2 linked regions of the Elephas maximus indicus genome follow. The protein of the gene in region 1 purifies or fractionates together with the protein of each later gene. This does not show direct contact. Links are inferred from orthologs where the notes say so. Each region holds a gene or a part of one and is shown on either strand. Other genes may lie near its edges.

Region 1 (7,858 bases):
TTCCTCAGATTCCCTAACTTTGACCAGAATCTGTTTCCCCAATTGCCTTCAAATTTAGACCATCCTTATTAAAAGGGGGAACCCTGGTGGCATAGTGGTTAAAAGCTACATCTGCTAACCAAAAGGCTGGCAGTTTGAATCTACCAGGTACTCCTTGGAAACTCTGTGGGGCAGTTGTACTCTGTCCTATTGGGTCACTGTGAGTTGGATTCGACTTGATGGCAACAGGTTTGGTTTTTTGGTTTTATTAAAAGCTTTGTTCTCAGACTTTTAGAGAAGTTTAGAAGAAGTTTTACAGAACAAACTAGCTTCTCATTAAACAGTTAGTACACATACTGTTTCATGACATTGGTTAACAATTCCATGACATGTCAACACTTTCCCCTCCCTACCTTTGGTTCCGTGTTACCAGCTTTCCTGTTCCCTCCTGCCTTCTAGTCCCTGTCCCAGGGCTGGTGTGCCCCTTTAGTTTTGTTTTGTTTTATGGGCCTGTCTAATCTTTGGCTGAAGGGTGAGCCTCCGAAGTGACTTCATTACTGAGCTAAGAGGGTGTCCAGGGACCACACTTTTGGGGTTTCTCCAGTCTCTGTCAGGCCAGTAAGTCTGGTCTTTTTTCGTTGAGTTAGAATTTTGTTCTACATTTTTCTCCAGCTCTGTCTGAGACCCTCTATTGTGAGTCCTGTCAGAATAGTCAGTAGTGGTAGCCAGGCACCATCTAGTTGTACTGGACTCACTCTGGTGCAGGCCATGGTAGTTGTGGTCCCCTTGTCCTTTAGACTAATCTTTCCCTTGTATCTTTAGTTTTCTTCATTCGCCCTTGCTCCTGAAGGGGTGAGACCAGTGGAGTATCTTAGATGGCCGCTTACAGGCTTCTAAGACCTCAGATGCTGTTCATCAAAGTAGAATGTAGAACATTTTCTCTGTAAACTTTGTTATGCCAATTGAGCTAGATATTCCCCTGAGACCATGGTTCCCAGAGCCCTCAGCTCAGTTAATTCAGTCCCTCAGGGAGTTTGAATGTGTCTATGGTGCTTCCATGACCTTGCTTTGGACAAGTTAAGCTGGCTTCCCCAGTATTGTGTACTGTCTTACCCATCACCAAACAGACAATAGATAAGTGGTAACTCTGGTGAAGGGTAAGACAGTACACAGTACTGGGGAAGTCAGTACAACATGTACAAGGCAAGGTCATGGAAGCTCCACAGACTCTTTCAAACTCCCTGAGGGACCGAATTACTGGACTGAGGGCTGTTTTCAGACTTTTAATCAATGTTTACTTAAATAGTGGAGAGATCTCCCCCAGAACAGTAACAGATATTTGCATGGCAGCTAATGCTGTGAAATCTAATTGGCCAGGTAAATGTTGTGGTTGATGGAAAGAGCAAGGGCAAGAAAAAAAACCAGTTGCCCTTGAGTCAACTCCAAGTCATGGTGACCTCATGTGTGCCAGAGTAGAACTGTGCTCCATGGGGTTTTCAATGGCTGAGTTTTTGGAAGTAGACTGTCAGGCCTTTTTTTCTGAGATGCCTTTGGGTGGACTTGAACCTCCAACCTTTCAGTTAGTAGCCTAGCGTGTTAACTATTTGCACCACCCAGGGACTCCAAAGGCAAGGAAGACTTCTTATACTTATTGAGGCAATGAATTTTTCAATGGAGATGGCAACTGCAGATTCTCTATTTTGTAAGCTCTGTGAGTCATGTATGGCATTAAGAAGGGGGAAATAATGAGCAATATCAACCAAATATGAAAGGAAAAAAAAGCAGAAGTTGTAATTTTAACATCTACAAAGTAAAGACAAAGATGATGCATGCTTCACTGGAATTATTTGATCTTGATAAATGGCTCAAGGTCTGGCAAACTGCTTCTGTAAGATTACAGGCAAGAAAATCCTATGCGAAAGCTTTACTCTGTCACATGGGATAGCACTATGAGTTGGAATCTACTTGATGGCACCCAACAACAACAATGTGATAATTTCTTTATTAGTCTCAACTCCCTTCAATCTATCCTGAGAGCTGTTGTCAGAAAAATCTTTTTTTTTTTTTAACATTTAATTCTTTTTAATGACCAGTTTTCACAGTATGTTGTTAGTATGCTAGCTATCTCCAGTGATGAACAATTTGTTTTGGATTTTTTTTTAATAGTTTATTTTTTGTTGAAAATATATATAGCAATTCAACATTACATACAATTCAAAATACATACACTGATTCAACAATTTCTACATGTACAATTCAGTGACATTGATTACATTCTCCAAGTTGTGCAGCCATTCTCACCCTCCTTTTCCAAATTGTTCTTCACTATTAACATAAACTCACTGCTCCCTAAGCTTCCTGTCTTAGCTGAGTTCTCTAGAGAAGCAAAATTAGTAAAGTGTAGAAATAGATAGATGATAGATAGATAGATAGATAGATAGATAGATAGATAGATAGATAGATAGATAGATAGATAGATAGATAGATGATAGATAGATAGATAGATTTATATCAAGGAAATGGCTCACTCAGTTGTTGGGGCTGGAATGTCCCAAGTCCATGGGTCAGGTTTCTCTGGATGCACATAGCCACAGGGGCTGGCAATCCCTAGACCGGTAGATAAGAGAGCAGGGCTCCTGTTCACAGCCTGTGAAGATGGATGAATCCCAAAGATCAGCAGGCAAGACCACAGGTAAGCTGCTAGTTCAAGTCCCAAGAGCCGAAGCCCAGATGGACAGGAGCGAGCTGCAAGATCCAGAGCAAGCAAAAGCCCACAAGCCTTGCCACTTATATTCCATGCAGGCCACATGCCCAAGGAAATTGCCTTTCAACTGATTGGCTACTCACAGCAGGTTCCATCATGGAGGTGATCACATCATACCAAATCTCATCATGGAAGTGATCACACCACCATATGAGTAGCAAATCGCTGAGGCTCATGGCTCAGCCAAGCTGACACACAACCTTAACCACGACACTTTCTGTCTAACCTTTCCACTTGTTGTCAGTTTGATCTCCTATAGTTTTTTTAAAAAAGAGTACTATGCTCAAAGCAGACATTCTTTACTAATTAAGCAAAATTACCATTTGGTTTAATTAAAAAAGACTTCAGAAGGATCTTTTGAATACATCAGACCAATTAAATCACTCTATCTCAAATGTCTTCGGTGACTCCCTACTGTCTACAATATGATGAAATCTAATACTTCTTGACATACCTAGCTTCATAATTTGATCTCTGCTTATCCGTCCAAAAGGCAAACCAAACCTGTTGCCATCTAGTCCATCCTGACTCATAGTTATCTGTCCAGCTCCTTCTTACCCATCTCCTTTCCCTGCCTTGATGTATAATATTCAAACTACTTGCATTTCTCAGAGTATATCAACCTCTCTTGATATATGTACATGCTGTTCTATCTGCCTGAAATAACTCCTTGCTCCCTACTGCCCCACCTGTCTTCTAGGCAAAGTCCTACTTATCCTTTAAATTTTGGCTCCAGCCCACTTTCGGAAAGCCTACCTCTAGAGTTATGAGCTCCTCATATTCTACCATTGGTCTTTGTACCTACACAGTTTACTGTTAATTTGCTTACATGTTTATTGCTACAATAGGTTTTAGTACCCCGAAGGAAAAAAACACAAGTTTTTCACCTAGTATCTCCAGCAGTTATCATAGTGGTTTGCAATAAGAGAAACTCAGTTACTTTATTGAACATGCCTTCAAGATCTGAGGAAGCTTCCCAGGCGGGATTGTTGGAGTAAACAAGCAATTCTCTCCTCCCGCCCCCCTTTCAGTTTTCCAGGCTTCTTCCAATACCTAGCAAGCAGAAGTCACTATAACTTTCCCTACTTCAGGCAAAATCGATCATTCCCTCCTTCGTGCTCCCACCGAATGTAGTACATAAATCCTATCCTAGCATCAATCACATTTAAGTTTGTATTTCGAGTATCTGAGACTTTACGAACACAATAATGAAATGAATCAATGTTCATAATATGCATAGACCATATATATATAAAGCCCTTTTCAATCCAACCAAAACGATTGTTTTTAAAACGCTGGATCTTCTAGGCATTCCGATTGTTCTTAGATGGTCAAAGCTTGGCTACCAAAGTTAGGGCGGAAGACCTACTACAGCACCACGAAAAGGATGGGGCTGAGAAGTTATAGGTTCTCTTCAACCAATGCAAGAACTAAGAAACTGCTGACGGTTCAGCGTTTGAAATAATGTATTTGCATCGTAAAGAAAAAAGATTAACCTATCAGGAAGAACTGAGCACAACCAATCAAAAGCGGGAAGGAAGCCAAAGACTGGGGATACCCACGCACCAACTAGGACGTCATTCTCTAAACTCCGCCAATGAGGGCCAGATGAGGGGGGGGGGGGCAACTGGAGGACAAATTGCCAAGGAAAATAAACAACAATCTGCAGTAGAACTGTTCTATTACAACAGTCCTCGCCTCGCAAACCCCTGGAGTAAACTTCTGGGCAAAGCACTTGTTAAGTACTTTCCATATTCCTTCTCGCCTGGAAAATCAGACTGGAATTCCTCCTTCCTACTAGAACAAGGGCCTTTTTCCACTAGCTCCCACAGGCTTGCAGAAAGCACACTGCAACTTGGCGCTTTTTACCTTCACTGGGAGTCCAGCGCTACCTGAGGGGGAGGGGCGGCCCCAGTGCGCCGGCGTGCATGCCTTGCGGAGGCGCGGCTCTGGGCCCAAGGCAACGTGGGAGTTACAGTTCTTACGGTGGCAATCCTTTAGCCAATCCTGAGGCCTTCAGGACTACATTTCCCAGGAGCCTCCGCGACCTTGGGGCGGACGGGCTGGTTCGTTAATGAGCTGTAGGAAGCCGCGGCGCGGCCCACCAGGTTCCAAAACAAGGAAATGAAGGGGGGAGGCGGGACTGAGGGTGCCTGCGGGAGCCGTCGCCGCTGCCGCCGCAGAGGAGGAGGAGGTGGAGGTGGTGGTTGCCGCGGCCGCCGAGGAGTCCCTTGCTGAAAGCGGATCGCGGAGCGGCTGGCGGCGCGCGCGCGCCCGAGAGGCGGCTGTTGTAGAGAAGTGGAGCGGCGGCCGCGGGGGGAGGAGGAGGAGGGACTGAGCGGCGGCGGCCCCCACGTCCCGGTGCCTCTATGGGGGAAGCAGACAATGGATTATGATTTCAAGGCGAAGCTGGCGGCGGAGCGGGAGCGGGTGGAGGATTTGTTTGAGTACGAAGGGTGCAAAGTGGGACGCGGCACCTACGGGCACGTCTACAAGGCGAGGCGAAAAGATGGGTAAGAGCAGGGGCGGGGGGAGTAGGGTCGCTCGGGTCCTCGCCCTGTCCGCGAACGGGCGGGATGGGTGGGTCGGAGCCCTATCGGACCGTTTCCAAGGGGCGCGGCGGAGGTGGTAGAGGGGCCATGTCCCGGGTTTGACTCTGAGAGACGCCCCCCTGCCCCTGCGGCTCCGTCGCGCCCCTCGAGCTCCCGCGGCGCAGCCCGGTCGGGGGCCGTCGGTCCCATGCCGAAGGGCGCTCTCCGCGTACATGGAGCAGGCGGCGACACGAGTTTGGACCTCGGCTAGAGGTGGAGTTGGTGGGGTCTGGTCTCTTGGGAAGACGCGGAGGAGTTGCCGCTCCGGCCCTGGGCTGGTGACGGCGGTTGTTGAACTTCCAATCCGCTGAGTCCCTCCCGGGGGCGGCGGTTTGAAACCTCGCCGCGGAGCCAGTCGCGCGGCTTAGCGCCTTGGTCCCCGGCAGTCTCCCGGGTCTGACCCAGTGTGCACGGCAGTCCCAGCTACGACCTCCGCCCCTGGGACCTGCTAGCCGGAACTGGCCCTTCAGCTCGGTCCCTCGCGTCCCTGTCGTGTTTTGGACCCCTCCTCACCCGTCTCCGCCCCGCCCCGCGCCCCGATTTCACACCCTCACTCTGAGTTCCGCTCGAATGTGGGACGACATCCTGAGAGAGTAACCGCGTTTTGCCCGCGAGAACTTCAGAGTTCTGCCAGGTTCTCTGGCACCTCTTTTTCCCTCACCTTAGGTATTCTTCTGTCCATCACTTCGTTCTCTGCCAAGTGACTACGTGCTGGGGTTTACTGGGCATCTAGATTATCAAAAACGGAGTACAGAGTGACACAGAGCTGGGCCTGAACCTTTGTTTTCCTGGGAGTTGAGGGAGAACCGTAGGACATCTTCGGGAATCTCCTACCTCATTAGAAGTCGAACTGGACGATATTACGAGTAGTTGAGCTCGAACTGCAGGACAGGTGGAACCAGCTCTCTGTGATGGGTGGCCAGTTATTACCGCATGTCCCATCGTTGTAGGAATTCCCCTCCCCCAGGGTTAGGGCGTCCAGAAAGATCTGCCTGCCATGCTTAAACTGCATAAAGACTGTCAACGTGTAAAGAACAGAGCTTTAGGGTCGTATTGAACATTTCCGAATAAACTGAGTATCAGCCACACTGACATTAGTAAGATTTGAAGGGCCACTTTCTGTGCACGCTGTTGCAATTTGATATGGTAGGTTTCTGAACTCTAGGACCAAAGTAGGTAGGTTGTGTGTGTGAATGTGTGCGTGTGTGTGTGCGCGCGCGCGCTTGCCCACTAGTTTCATAAAGGGAAAAACAAAACACAATTACTGTAAAGTTTTGGAGACATTTGCCCCTAGTTTTTTCCCCCCAATCTAGAGTTGGGTGTCAAGAATTATGATTCTCTGTACAAAAAATTTCAGAAATATTTTCTGTGAAAATATGTTGAAAATTACAAATTTCAGGATTATTATTATTGTTATTATTTTTTCTTTCTTATGGCTAAACAGGCCGGATAGTACTCAGTTGTTTGTGAACTTTTGTCATAATTCTTATAATTGCCAGGTGTTCTTGAATGAGTATCATGGGATGTGAGGTACTATAATTAACTTTTGTTTTTGAAATATGTACTTTACTTGTAATACTGGTGTTCCTGTGGGAGTGTTATCAAATATATTTGGGGAAGGCACATCAAGTTTTCCTGTTTAGACATTGGCATTACAAAATAAAAGTGGCTCTTTTCACACTCCTCGTGGTAACTTTGTAGTACACTTGACCTAGAATTTTTAAATGTATTAAAAAAATTTTTTTTGATTAAAATAACTTCCTTTTAGCAGACAATTTCTGAGAAAAGTTAAGAATTTTCTTCTGAATTGTATTTGAGTAGCATGGGCTTACAACAACAACAAACAGCAGATAATATAATTCCTATTTCCATTCTTTTTGAATATTTCCCCCCTCTAATAAAGTTGTTGATTCAAATACATATCCTTCTTGAGTGAAATTTATTTGATTAGAAGTAATAAAGCTGCGTTAGTAGAGGAAGATGGTTTCATCACATCAGATTGGTTTGTGTACCTTCAGCATAATATGCCTTTTTTTTTGGTGAACTTTTGGCCCATGAAAGCATTTACTTAAATCACTATATAACATGTAAGAAAAACCATAATAAAGGTTTTTTTTCTTGGACCAAGAGTCTAGTGAGATTCGAAGCTTTACAGCAAAACACATCTCTTGTGGGTTGTTAGTGGGATTAATTTATGTGCGTTGATACCAGTGATTTGAAAGAACGAAAAGTTTGTAGTGATTGTTCTAAACTGTGATGCAGATTTGTACAGTAAAAAATTTTGCACTCTGATCGTGGTAAATTACAATTTAGATGTTTCCATTTTTATTTTGGTTAACATAGGAAGATGTGTAATGCTGTTTTAGGGAGCAAGAGAGAACTCACATGATAGGTTAAAGAGAAATTATCCTGGTATATGTAGTATAGTACATAACTCAAAAATTATTTGGGTCTTTAGAAACACTGAAACAAGTAACAAAATATTAGAAAAATCTCTATAGTTTAATACTATGGCTTACAAAAC
Region 2 (7,188 bases), on another chromosome or scaffold:
AAGCAGTGTACCTTCAGGCAGGAGGTTTGCTGGTGGAGTAGGGTGCTTCCAGGCACTTGATAGAGCTAAGTTTGCCCATCCACAGAGCTAGAGCTGAGCACCTTTGGGCTGAGGTTTACTGATGGAGTGGGATGCCTCTGGGCACTTAGCAGCAGAACTAAAAGAGCTTGGTAACACTTGCCCGAGCAGGAGCCAGAGAGAGGCCTGCCTGTGGGCACAGCTGAGAAGAGGTTGTCCTGATGGAAGAACTGTATTCTGAGAGTTCCTGAACCTGAATTGTAACCCGTAATAAACCTCATAATTGTGAGTATTGTCCTTGAGTTCTGTGTAGCCACTGTAATGAACTATCGAAACTAGCAGAGAAGTAGAGTGTTGTGGGAGGGACAGTTGGTGTCAGAATTGGTAAAGATGGCAGAAAGAGGAGGCAAGTCTGACCTCTGCCTCAGAAGAACCAGCCTTGGGCTGTTGATCTTGATTCTCCTTCACCCTTATGAAGTTAGAGGAGATCAGATGCCACCTCATGCCATCTTTACAACAATAAAATATTATTTTAAAAAGGAGAAAAATATATTTCATACTTATGCACATATTGACTATTTTCAGAGTTCTTCATTCCACTGTATAGACTCAAATTTCTACCTAGAATCATTTTCCTTCTACCTAAAGACATGTTTCTTTATGTTGTTTGGCCACTGTTCTATAGGATTTCTCTTATTATTATACTGATATTATAGTGAAATACATAGGAGAAAATGGACTATTTTAGACAAAACATTTACATGTAGACAATAAAATACCTTGTTCGCAATTTTTAATATAGATTACATGTTGAAATAATAATATTTTGATTGTGGGTTAAGTAAAATGTATTAACATTAAATTCACCCATTTCTTTTTTTTTAATGTGGCTAAGAGAAAATTGAAAATGACATTTCTATTAGAGTGCTGATCTAGATCATTCTAGACTATTCTTCTTAACTGCCACCAGTTGATTTTTTTTAATTGGTGAGGGAGGAAACCCTACATCTGAATAATAAGAATTAATGTTTGCTGAGTGAAGATACTTCTCTACATGCTTTACCTGTATAACCTCACTCAATCCTTCTATGAGGTTGAATCAGGAAACAATTGTCCAAAGCCGTCCAACTTCAGAAGCGGAGCTGGGATGGAAAGCCAGCAGGTTGGTTCTGAAGCCTGAACTCACAACCTCCACCTGACCAGACAAAGCCCTTTAAGAAGCTGCTTCGGAAAGTGATCCACATATAGCTTAACTCTGTGACGTTCATAACAACATATACTCCTTAGGTATCAATGAAGCAGCTGCCTTTTTCTGACTCTTCACAAGGCGGTTATAAACAGACACATGTTTGTTGCCGCAATTGAAGCTTTAATGAAACCAGCACAGGCAGTATTTTTGTGACATCCACTTGCATCCTTGTGAAGTCAGCTTTACTCTTTGCCCCTAATTATATTAACTATTTTTAGGACAAATTGTCAATGTGCCATACTTGTTCATGCTTAATACATTTTCAAATTGTTTTCTTTAGCCATATCTATTTATACTTGAAGTGTTTTTTTAAAAAAAGATTATTCCGGCAATGACAAAGATTCATGATGAAGTTATAAAACACACCAGGAGAGGAAGATGACATGCAGTCACCATGGGGATATTATTGATGAATAGCAGATTGCTTTTTGAATTCTGAATAAGAACTTAACTTTAACATTTTGAATCATAAAGTTTCAGAATTGGAAGGGACCTGAGGTCTCTTATGCACAGGCTTGGTGCCAGGAAAGTTGTGTGTGTGACCCCGGGACCAGGGTCTTAACCGTTGTAAGACTCAGTTTCCTCATCTATAAAATGGGAATGCAAACATCTACCTTCTAAAACTCCTTTGTGGATTAAATGAGATAATATTGTAATTCTGTTTCTTGTACCTTCTTTTATTCCATGGTAGCTATGGTTATTATTATTATTATTACCATTATTCCATCATTATTTCCCCCAGGTGACTCCAAATGTATACCCTCTCTTCCAGCACATCTGGTCTTATCCCAATAGTCCTTTCTCCTCTATTCTCCACAAGAACTCTTGAACTCTTCCCTTAGGTGAGGAGGTCCCTGCAGGCCTCTCCCCCTCCCTTTCCTCTCCAGCACCCCCAACAACACCCAGTTTCCACTCTGCAATCTTGCTGCCCAAGGATCTGCCTGCTCCCCATGCTTCCGAAATATCAGTTACTGCTCATCTGGCTGCCTGAAGGTGGACTCCTTACTGCCCATGATGGTAGACTGAGGAATGATGCCAAATGAAGGCTTTCCTAGCCCATGCCTTTCTTCTTCCACTGGCTGCCCAGCCTAGACATTTATTGTACAGTCCCCTGGTCGTACCTATTTGAGGAACATAACCACAAACCACCAGAAGTCTCCCTGATTCCTTGGGTCCCAGGGGGTCCTCATGCAAATGAGACCTACCTTCAGGGGTCAGCCACATATTTAAACTTAGAAAGCAGTCTAGGCTTCGGAGGTAAGGAAACTGGGACCTAGGGAGCTTAAGGAACTGGCCCAGAAGTATGAAGAGTGTCTTAGTTATCTAGTACTGCTATAAAAGAAATACCACAAGTGATGGCTTTAATAAATAGAAATTTAATTTCTCACAGTCTAGTAGGTTACAAGTCCAAATTCAGGGTGTCAGCTCCAGGGGAAGGCTTTCTCTCTGTTGGCTCTGGAGGAAGATCCTTATCCTCAATCTTCCCCTGGTTGAGGAGCATCTTAGGCACAGGGACCCTGTGTCCAAAGGACACACCCTGCTTCTGGTGCTGCTTTCTTGGTGGTATGAGGTCCCCAACTCTCTGCTTGCTTCCCTTTCCTTTACTCTCTTGAGAGAGAAAAGGTGATGCAGGCCACACCCCAGGGAAACTCTACCTTGGATCAGGGAGGTGACCTGAGTAAGGGTGGTGCTAAAAAATCCCACCCTAATCCTCTCAATATAAATTAATTACAATCACAAAATGGAGGACAACCACACAATACTGGGAATCATGGCCTAACCAAGTTGACACATATTTTTGGGGGGACACAATTCAATCCATGACAGAGAGTATTTGAAATTCTTCAATGTATTATTATTTGTGGCATGAATCCCCATCTAGGTCCTTGGGTGGTGCAAACAGATTTATGCTCAATTACTATCCTAAAGGTTGGCAGTTTGAACCCACCTAGCAGCCCTGCAGAAGGAAGGCCTGGTGATCTGCTTCCATAAAAACTACAGCCAAGAAACCCTGTGGAGCAGTTTCACACTGTAACATATGGGATCGCTGTGAGTTGGAATCTACTCCATGGCAACAGGTTTAGCTTTGTTATTTTTTTTTTGTTTTTTCGGGGGGAGGGGTGGTTAATCCCTTCTGAAGGAGCCCTGGTGGTAGAACGTTTAAGTGTTCAGCTGCTAAATTAAAGGTTGGTGGCTGGAACCCATCCAGACAATCTGCAGGAGAAAGACGGGGCTATCTGCTTCTGTAAAAGTGAAAGAAACAAAAAACAATTCTAAAGGTTACAGCCTAGGAAACCCTATGAGGCAGTTCTACTCTGTCCTGTAGGGTCGCTAAGAGTCTGAATCGACTCCACCACAGTGGGTTTGGTTTCTTTTTTTTTTTTTTTTTTTCAGTCTTCCCATAGTTCAACTTTTTTTTCTTCAGGAGACCTTCCAGAGGAATGGCGGATGGTGGGAGCCCTGGTGGCGCAGTGGTTAAGAGCTGTGGCTGCTAATCAAAGGTTGGCAGTTCGAATCCAGCAGCTGCTCCTTGAAAATCCCATATGGGGCTGTTCTACTCTGCCCTATAGGATCACTATGAGTTGGAATCAACTCAAGGGCAATGGGTTGAGTTTGGGCCACGCTGAGCCTTATTTATCGCAAGGTTTCCGTGTTGGTTGCGTTTGGGCTCTCTTCGTCAGATGAATAGGAATAAGAAAGACTGGGTTATTTTTTGAAATAAGTCTCCTATTTCCGAGTGTTTAATAATTTAGCCATGTTGACTCACAGCCAAGTTCAGGCCACCCAGGCCCGCCAACAGCCTGTTGCCCAGCAACAGTCGCCAAGCACTGCCCAGCCCCTTTGCCCGGCACCCATACGCCTGTGCGCATGCGTAGACCCTTCCTGCCGGCGCGCAGCGGTGACGTATGAAATCCGTGACGCTTTCGGCGTGTTGATCCCCCCAGGGTCCTGCTGATTGACTGACAGACCCCTGAACTTCATGGCCTCCGCTGGTGTGGCCCCCGGGCGTCAGGCGGAGGATGTGTTGCCGCCGCCGGCCGAGCCGCAGCTTCCAGAGACGAAGCCGCTGCCGCCTTCTCAGCCGCCAACGCCGGTCGCTGCGCCTCAGCCGCAGCAGTCGCCCGCGCCGAGGCCGCAGTCACCTGCGGGCGTGAAAGAGGAGGAGAATTACTCCTTTTTACCTCTGGTTCACAACATCATCAAATGGTAAGGCCCTAGAAGATGACCATCCACGACACTCCCCCCTGCTTCGCGTCACACCCCTGTCAGAGCTGGAAGAGGCTTAGAGGCTGCCCCCATTTTACATATGGGGCTTCGGAACCGGAGGGGAAAGAGGCTTTTCCCAGGACCTCGCAGAGCCTTTCCATGAGGTCAGCAAATGCCTTGATCCCTAAGAGTTACCAGGCCTCATGATGGCCAGCCGATATTAATAAGAATGAAGTCAGCTCAGAGACTAAATTCACAGACTCTGGAGTAAAAAAAAAAAGTTTGCATCGCAGCCATCTTGAGCAAGTTCAGCCTCTCTGACCCTCAGTTTTCTCATCTGTTATATGGGGGTAATTCTCACTTTGGCTCCTTTTTTCTATTCAGCCAACAGGTTTTGGCCCTCCTTCCTGTATGACACACGGCTAAGTGCTGTGGAGTGTGCCAGTTAGAAGGAATGGGAAAGACACATAATTTAAGATGATAAGGAAGGGCTGATGATTAAAAGAAACAAGTTCCCCACCAGATTAGATCCTGTGGCACTAATTTCCTTCTAACATAGTACCATAGGGGGTGGTTGTCATCCTTTTGGCCAGGATTCAAGTTAGCTAGAGTTTTCAAACTGACCCCTGTAAAAGAAAAAAAAACCAAAGGTCTCCCTGATCCCCATTTTTACCTAAGTTATTTTTATTCTTGTTACTTGAATATCTATCCACAGGATACTAGGTGGAAACCCCTTATGCTTATAATTTATTTAGCCATTAAACCAATACAAATGCACAAAGTAGGTTAAAACGAAATTACTATTCTAGCACAATTCAAATGCACATTAGTACGCTGTTTGATGTTTTGCTGAAATGGAATTGCTACATGAGGATAAAAGAAACAAACAAATAAAAAAAACCAAACCCATTGCTTTGGAGTTGATTCCAACTCATAGCAACCCTATAGGGCAGAGTAGAATTGCTCCATAGGGTTTTCAGGGAGTGGCTGGTGGATTCAAACCGCTGACCTTTTGGCTTGCAGCTGAGCCCTTAACCTCTGCACAACCAGGGCTCCCACATGAACATACGGACCATTAATGGCCCAGATTCTTTTGAGTAGCCAGCCTAAATTCACTTGCTGTGGGATACATGATGTTTCCACCATTTTTCTCTTCAAACTATTGCAAAACCTTTGTTCTCACATTAGACCCTGACTTCGTCTGGCTTCGCGTTGCATAAACAAAAGTGAAGCAGACTCTGTTCTTGGCAACAGTGAGTTTGCAAAGACAAATGCAAGTGCACACCCCACACTCCTGGGGCAGTACTGGATTATGAAGGGGTTGGCCAGGTTAACCCAGATATACTTACGCTAGTTTTTAAAAAATCTGGGAAAATGAAAACCCAAAATATACACATTCGCAGAGACGGTTCTTAGACCTCTGAGAGTATGTTCCTGAGCCCTGATAGAGCAGTGGGGTTCTGCTGGCTTTAAGGATGGGGCAGTAAATTATACTAGAGAGAACATAGGCTTTGAAGTCAGGCGGTGCCGGATTCAGGTGTGTTAGGCCTTAATTCTCTCATCTCAATATGTGGATAATAATAATGGACCTCAAACTAGGGGTTCAGATTATAGCTCTATAATATGCTAGCTGGATGACCTTGCACCAGTAACTTAACTTCTCTGAGCCTCTTTTTCTCCTGTGAAATTGCTGAATTGTTGTGCAGTATACTCAAGTGTACTTTCCCCCCTGGGAAAGACGGCGGGTTAATCTCATGCATTCATCTCTGTTTCCTCTAAAAGGACAGTGAAGGGGTTTTTCTTTCTTTCTTTTTTTTTTAATGTATAAAACTAAAAAGAACAGGAGAGGAGATGATTGCCACAGGGCAGGCGGTCAAGGGCTGACTCACCTACCAGCCCTGAGAGCAGTCCACCTTTGACCGTGCTGTTGTTTTTAGGTGCTGTCAAGTCAGTTCCGACTCATAGTTACCCTGTGCACAACAGAACAAAACATTACCTGGTCCAGCACCATCCTCACAATCCTTCGTATGCTTGAGCCCATCATTGCAGCCACTGTGTCAATCCATCTCGTTGAGGTTCTTCCTCTTTTTCAGTGACGCTCAGCATTACCAAGCATGATGTCCTTCTCCAAGGAGTGGTCCCTCCTGATAACATGTCCAAAGTACGCGAGATGAAGTCTCAACCATCCTCGCTTCTGAGGAGCACTCTGGCTATACTTCTTCCAAGACAGATTTTTTCATTCTTCTGGAAGTCCATGGTATATTCAGTATTCCTCACCAACACCATGATTCAGAGGAATCAATTCTTCCTCAGTCTACCTTAGTCATTGTCCAGCTTTTACATGCATATGAGGCAATTGAAAATACCATGGCTTGGCTCAGGTGCACCCAGTCCTTAAAGTGATATCTTTGCTTTTCAACACCTAAAAGAGGTTTTTTGCAGCAGATTTGTCCAGTGCAATATGTCATTTGATTTCTTGACTGCTGCTTCCGTGGGCATTGACTGTAGATCCGAGTAAGATGAAACCCTTGATCTTTCACCGTGGCCTCTCCCGAGATTCCAGGAATCAGCAGTATCAGGAACCTCTGGAAATAAGGGTGAAAGTGGGACTAATAACAGGAGGATCACTTAAAAGTCTCTTTAAGAAACGGATCCCCACAGTCCTCTGACAGGGAACTCAAAGCAACAGGTGACTACGGTTCTTCCATCGGGTA

What was found. Proteins that work in one complex are often made in the same cells at the same time.
Region 2: the proteins of CDK19 (region 1) and MED9 purify together in Homo sapiens (affinity purification with mass spectrometry; 7 studies listed by BioGRID and IntAct, counting the BioPlex papers as one, with this or other methods). This does not show direct contact. The link is inferred for Elephas maximus indicus from reciprocal best matches to the Homo sapiens genes CDK19 and MED9.

What each region holds. Positions count from the first base shown.
Region 1 is NC_064819.1:176,759,091-176,766,948, reverse strand, and holds the start of CDK19 (cyclin-dependent kinase 19), read left to right. Parts: upstream 1-4,820; 5' UTR 4,821-5,128; coding exon 5,129-5,256; intron 5,257-7,858.
Region 2 is NC_064820.1:214,931,010-214,938,197, reverse strand, and holds the start of MED9 (mediator of RNA polymerase II transcription subunit 9), read left to right. Parts: upstream 1-4,165; 5' UTR 4,166-4,247; coding exon 4,248-4,474; intron 4,475-4,484; exon of another isoform or gene 4,485-4,489; coding exon of another isoform or gene 4,490-4,638; intron 4,639-7,188.